Saccharomyces cerevisiae S288C: one gene and its partner. The gene in region 2 interacts genetically with the main gene of each other region. Each region holds a gene or a part of one and is shown on either strand. Other genes may lie near its edges. The genes, in order: YPR096C and YFL040W.

Evidence for each region.
Region 1: mutations in YFL040W (region 2) and YPR096C together harm fitness more than expected from each alone (negative genetic interaction), as found in Saccharomyces cerevisiae (2 studies listed by BioGRID).

What each region holds. Positions count from the first base shown.
Region 1 is NC_001148.4:724,156-727,095, reverse strand, and holds YPR096C (uncharacterized protein), read left to right. Parts: upstream 1-1,951; coding exon 1,952-2,254; downstream 2,255-2,940. Other genes in the region: LEC1 (Lec1p), read right to left, coding at 1-1,702; Arf family guanine nucleotide exchange factor SYT1, read left to right, coding at 2,379-2,940.
Region 2 is NC_001138.5:49,076-53,472, reverse strand, and holds YFL040W (uncharacterized protein), read right to left. Parts: upstream 2,124-4,397; coding exon 501-2,123; downstream 1-500. Other genes in the region: ACT1 (actin), read left to right, coding at 1-213; ferroxidase FET5, read right to left, coding at 2,466-4,334.

The DNA of each region.
Region 1 (2,940 bases), on a different chromosome or scaffold from region 2:
GTAGACTCATCAAGTATTTTTCATCTTTTAACAGGGATGTTTTGAAATCTTTCATTGAGTCTTGCAGCTTTAAAGACTTTTCTAACGCCATCTGTTGGAAACGTATTTGGTTCTCCAAATTACTTACATCTATCAGAGCCCTGTTTCTAATGTCATCTGCTATTTTCGGATTTATGTCCTTAATATCTAAATTAGGCCCACTTAGGAAGAAGCGACGAATAGATGAGCTTTGAGAAACCTCTGCATCTTTACACAAAGTCCTTAAATATTGTCTTAATGAAGTTCTCATTTTTTCACCCACCAAAGTATTGATTTTTGAATCGGATGCATCTTTATATTCATCAAAATCACTTTCTTCACCTTCACCTTCTTCCTCATACTCGTCCTCATCAATATTATCTTCTTCCTTGATCTCATTTAGAATATTTTTTCTCAACGTTTCAGTTTCTTTTTCTGTGAGTACTGTTTCTGTAGCAGATAATTCATTCGTTGTCTGTAAAAATGAAGAATTATCAGACTCTGATGCAGATTGTAAATCAGTGTCAAAAGTGTTGACGATTTTTTCCCTGGCTGCTGATTTAGTTTGCCCATTGTGTAACACTTCGGTTTTAGTTATCATAGACGTCACTTTTTTATTTCTATGAGGTAAGCGCGGACATTTCTTCCCCGGAAATTCTGATTTTAAATCATGAGATAGTTTTTTGAAGTCGCTGTATGTTCTTGTCACATAGAAATAACCAGCATGGTGATCAAGATTACTATTCTCTTCATTGCTGTTATCTTGGTCGTCGTCATCTTGCTTCTTAATCTTAATCAAGAAATAATGATGTTTTCTAGATTGCTTGCTCTTAGTTGAAGGCACGCCAAGGGATAATTTCGAAAATAAAGATGCTGAGGATTCGGGCATACTATTTATGGTACTGTTAATAGTGTTGTTGAAGGCATTCTTCATCCATTTAGAAGTGGAAGCAAATGATTTTATAGCATGGCTTTTGGGACTCGAAGTTGGAGTAGATTTACTAGACTTGTCATTATCCACACTTTCAGTACATTTCCGTGAATTCTTATTGAACACGGATATAATATTGACGTCCCAACCGTTAATAAAAACGGATTCGTTAGTGAGCAAATTCTCTAAATTTTCTCTAGTTGGCATTGCAAATTTCTCAATATTAGAGCGTTTTCTCGCTTGGCCTGACTGTAAAACGAATTTATCCTCATTATAATACGCTTGCTCTTGAAAAGAGCCAACACCGGAGTTAAAGAGCAACAAGATAACCTTTGATAGCTTTTTGGAAACTTTCTTCCTTTTTGAAGCTTCCTCCCTGTCATAACTTTCACTAAACCCAAGACTCATGAAATGTTCAAAGAACACTTGAACCTTACTCTGCCAGAATTTTTCATCAACTAGCAAATTTGTTGAAAGTAAAGGAAATGTGGATATAAATTCTTGCAAAACATAACTCAGCATGGGATAATTAACGCTAAAATGGCCTTTGCCACCGAGCACTGGTGATGAATCGTTATTGGAGATAGGCTGTGGAGCTGTCGGATCGTTTGGTGAGAAAGGATAACCGAACTTTCTCAAAGCAAACTGATCGTTAAGCTTTCCAATTTCATAATCCAATTGACATCGAAGCAGTTCCCTCTTCAGGTAGTGTTCTTCCGTTGGATTTAAAGCAGGAGTGTCTTGAGTAATCATTTGAAGACTGTCTATTTTTGATTCTTTAGTACAATTATCTTCAACCACTGATTTCAGTACACAATTCCGACCACAAGGTAAGGTTCGTTTTTCTTTTTTTATAGAGCCCAATGCACAGTAATTGGATGTAGCTCTTAAAAAAGAATGAAAGCTAGAAAGTGATCAATTATTCGAAAAACACTTTAATACGTTCCTTGTTCACGCCTAAAAAGTTAACTGTCAAATGGTTAACGTACATTTATCTGTCTTATGAGAGGCGAAACAGGCGTAAGCATTAAAAACCCAAGGCCATCTCGTCCTTTTTCTTGTTTTTGGCGTAAAGGAGATGTTGAAAATATTAGGAAAAGTGATATAGGGAACGAAAAGAAAATAGACGCTAAGTTCAACAGGCTTCAGTATAATCTATATTACAAGCCTCTCTCGCACCACAAGGCCGGTTTATTGTACAAAGAACTCTTCTTCAGAAGCTGCTTCTCTTATACTACCTGCTCATTAGACTTTCAGGGTAAAAGGCACCAAGTGGAAAGAAAGGCAGTAGATATAGTACTTTGAATTCTTTTGACATCGCAAGGTTACTCGCATCCACTCCCTATTATTTACTCTGTTTCAACTCATTGTAACTTCATTTTCGCTAACTTCCCGCCAGACCAGCTCTTCAATCCACACTTGCCAGATAATGAATCAGTCTATTTCTTCGTTGATTAAGCTTAAATTCCTTCAATCACACAGTAACGATAAAAATGGCAACAAAAAGGGCGGAAGCAATGTTTCAACAGGCATAGATAAATTAAGAGAGTCGGAAAGTTATAGAAGTCCTTTTCTTCAACTCGCAGAAATACAGGAACACACTAATAATGACGACGATAAACTTGATGTAAAAGAATGCGAGCCCACAAAAAAACACAGCAAACTAAGCAGGATACGGCGTAAGATGGGTAGGTTAGACTTGAATTTCAGGTCAGCCAATGAAAAGGGTTCTGAAGATGATGAAATCTTGGTTGCACAACACCTCCGTAATGGACAAGATCCTGAAGAAATGCCTTTCAAATCAGAAAACAACATAGATTCGATAGAGAAAGTTCCCAAGCCCGATGGTGAGAGAGTCACGCTTACTAGCTCCGGGTCTGATAACGTAAAGAGAAATTCAAAACACGCCCCATTCATTCCTGTGAAACCTGCTCTAGAAAAATTTCCTTCTTCTAATAGATTGTCAAGAGATTACAGAAAATCACAAGAGC
Region 2 (4,397 bases):
TTCCCAGGTATTGCCGAAAGAATGCAAAAGGAAATCACCGCTTTGGCTCCATCTTCCATGAAGGTCAAGATCATTGCTCCTCCAGAAAGAAAGTACTCCGTCTGGATTGGTGGTTCTATCTTGGCTTCTTTGACTACCTTCCAACAAATGTGGATCTCAAAACAAGAATACGACGAAAGTGGTCCATCTATCGTTCACCACAAGTGTTTCTAATCTCTGCTTTTGTGCGCGTATGTTTATGTATGTACCTCTCTCTCTATTTCTATTTTTAAACCACCCTCTCAATAAAATAAAAATAATAAAGTATTTTTAAGGAAAAGACGTGTTTAAGCACTGACTTTATCTACTTTTTGTACGTTTTCATTGATATAATGTGTTTTGTCTCTCCCTTTTCTACGAAAATTTCAAAAATTGACCAAAAAAAGGAATATATATACGAAAAACTATTATATTTATATATCATAGTGTTGATAAAAAATGTTTATCCATTGGACCGTGTATCATATGATCATCTCTTCATCGCTTTTCAGTTTTATAGGTTTATGCAATTGCCCTTCTTGGGAGGATCTTGTAGAACCGCCATTAGAATTTGAGTCCGGCGTTTTGATACCCTTTTCCCCATGTAAATTGGTGCCCTCTTTACTCTCAAATTCGAAGAATTTATCAATATCTTCTATGCTCATACCCTTTGTTTCTGGGAACCAAATCAAAACTGAAAGTGATATCAAGAATGTCAAAGATCCAAATATTATAAATGTTGTGCCTTTTAATCTTTCAATCATCACAGGGCATAGAAACGTTAAAATAAAATTGCCCAACCATCCAAACGTTACGCAAATGGCAAATCCCTTAACTTTCACTCGTGAGGGCAACATTTCATTCGTGTAAACCCAAGGTATACTGGAAAGGCTCATGGCAAATATTCCAACAATTAGAAAGCATAAAGTTAGAATCCATCCTCCCACAAACGGGTTTTCTCCAATTGACCAAACTAAACTCCTATTGCCGTCGATGGGCTTGGTGTCTTGACCATACTTCACAAATAATGCGCCGATTGTAATGAGCAACCCACTAATGGGAAAGCCACCCAACAAGGTAATTAGCTTTCTGCTAGTGTAATCAATGAATGTAATCGGTAACAAGCTCAAAACCATGTTGATGAAATATGGAATGGAACTGGTGAATAGTTTTACATTGCCTTCAAGCCCTACAATCTCGCAAATGTATGTAATATAACCAAGGATAATGTTTATACCGCTAAATTGAACCAATAACTGTAAAGTCATTCCAAGAATCAAAGGCTTAAACGAACCCCGAGGTAATTTTTTGGAGAAGTCCAAATCATTAACTCCAATCCAAAAATCTCCTGCTAATTCGATCTTACTCATCTCAGGGACTGCATCCCTTGGCTGGCTTTCATTAAACTTTTTGGCTAAATTGTGCTGAATTTCCTGAGCTTCACTCATCTTCCCATGTAGTACTAGCCAGTGATAAGATTCAGGTAGAGCGTAGCTAGCCATCCAGAACAGTAATCCAGGAATGATTCCTATGCACCACGCTATACGGAACGCAAAATGAGAATCCCATAGACTTAATGCAATGCACAAATAATGCATAACAAGAATTCCAATGGTTAAACACAATTGAATATAGCTCATCGTACTTCCACGCTTGCCGCGGGGGATAACTTCATTTGCGTAGGATGCTACTAAAATTGAAAAGTTCCCAAGGATCATACCCTTGATCATCCGGCAAATTAGTAAACCTAATATATCCCAAATACAAAAGTTCAATAACGTAACAATATTCCATATTATTATTCCCGATTGAAATTGATATATTCTACTGAATCTATCATTCATTATGCAGCAAATAAAACATCCCATGATACCACCCAGGGGGGTGGACCCCATGAGTAAACCTTGTTGTAAAGGAGTTGGATACTTGAAGTACTCATTAAACGTTTTGTTTGTGAGAAAAGTTGCCAATGACGGCACCTCAAGGCCCATTATAAATCCTACTAGTGTCAATATCGCCGTAATTTTCGTAACTTCATAAGTTTTTGTAATTTTGATTTTCGGCATCTTGGGAAGTCTCCAGACAATAGCTTTCATTGCTGTCATTGTGCTTAATAATTTTTAAAGTATAATGTTAGAAACTGTACTTGTTCTTTCTTTTTTCTCTTCTCATATTACACTTATTGAATATTTTGTTTTTTGATTTTCATCCTTTTTTTGTGACGTTCTTGGCTGAGCGTCACAACGTCAGAGCTAAAACAACGAAATAAAAGAGAAAAAAAAAGCAATAGATTTGATTACGTATGAATATTATATAGGGAATGGAATGAACAAAATGAAAATACTCAATAGTAAGCAGTATTTACAGTGCTACATTTTTTTTAGGATTGCAAATCATCAATATGAATATAAACTTCTTTCATTTTTCTTTTATATTTTCTTGTTTAATTAGCCGCGAGAAACCTCTATTTCATTTTCAGCCAAGATTTCCCTTAACGTGTGGTACACCTTCTCATCGTTAGGGATAACCTCGCCAATACCATACTGAGCAATGGAATATAGGCCCCAGACACCGATAATGGTTGAAATAATCAATGCCAAATATCCTTCAGTAGTAAATCCCTTTGGTAGTGGCTCAGGTTGTCTTGGTAATCCTTTTAAGTCAAACCAATCATTCGAATGACCTGCAGCATTACCAACTACCGGAATATCAGCGGCTTTGCATATATCCAGATAGTTCTCATTAAGCTTTTCCCTTTCCTGAAGTAAAACGGGTGCCTCAATAAAGACCGAAGCCAAACCTTGTTGTAAGTGCCAATCTACATGACAATGGAAATACCAGACACCAGGGTTGTCAGCTCTAAATCTCAGGACAACATGTCCACTAGGTTCAAGAACCACTGTATCTCTCACCATCGGCCTCTCAGGGAACGGTTGTAATGGCGCAGATTCGTTATAAGGGACGGTCATTTCATCTTGCTCAGATTCGTCATAAGCTTCATCAACATGGAACCCTGGCGACTTTTGGACTATTTGGAAATTATGACCGTGCAAATGGAATGGATGTCTGCCAGAATCATAATTGTTTAGAACAACCTCTATGATATCATTATGTTTCAATAACTGCGCATTGATATTATCACCATAAATTCTAGGATCTGACGCAAGCTTTCCTGAGGTAAGCAACGTTGTCAAAGTAGGCACCTTTGGTGTGACGTAAGTGATATTATTGAAAAATGCATACTTCACACCATCACCCAAGTTGACCATTCTTACATCCATGACAATTTGGTGGTCATAGTGAGCAAGTAGGTCTCTCTCAATCAGAGGTTCTAGGTAAAAGTCATTCGTGGCGCGGTCCAAGTCACAATCTTCAATGTTCAATGCGCGTGCCTCCGGCAACGAGTGGCCATACCTCATTTGGATAGTTTGGTTGAGTTGTAACTCAGGTGGGACAACATCAAGCATCGTCTCATCCATTATTTGCATCATAGCGTAGTTTCTTGTAGGCATTTTATCTTTAGCTTTAATCAACACACTCATTCTTTGCCCCGCAGAAAGATATATCGAATCAGTAAAGTTTGGCTTTACGTAAACACCGTCCACCTCTACTATACTCATTTCATGATCCTCAAGAATGATATACTGGGATACAAACAGCCCAACGTTCAAGAACCTGAAGAGATACGTTTCACCGGGTGTAAAATCTAAAGTTACATTCATCGTATTATTAAAAAGAATATTTTGAGGAATAGGTTCAGCACCGGTTGGATTATATCTTGACAGAAACTCTTTGGTAACCGTTTTATAATTTTCGTGATAATGGTCCGATAGAGTGATGACTCGTTCATGATCATATTCGAAGGGCTCCTCCGGATCGTGGATGATAAATGCACCCCTCATACCGTCACCGTACTGGGCACCCATGTGTGCATGGTACCAGAACGTTCCTACCTGCTCTGGGACAGTGAAGTTGTACAGGTATGTTTGTCCCGGAACGATGGGACATTGTGTCACCATAGAAGGACCATCCATTTGAAGCTGGTTCCCCAAACTCGTATTCTGGAAAAGACCATGGAAATGTAGAGAAGTAGCAGTATTGTCTTGAAAGCCGTTAGTCAAATAAAGCTCAACACGATCTCCTTTTTCAACATGGATATCTGGAAGTGGCCATTCGCCATTAAAACCAATCATCCTTTTTTCATGCAATCCATCAGGATTGGCAGTTACCCAAGAAGCGGTATAGTTTAACTTATGTGTCTTTGCCAAAGCAACACTAGCGGCCAGTACAGACCACACGAACGAGTAGAACAACATCGTTTCTTGTCTTCCTGTGCTTGATTCTTTCTTCTTTCATTCGGAACTCTTTTTTTACGTCTT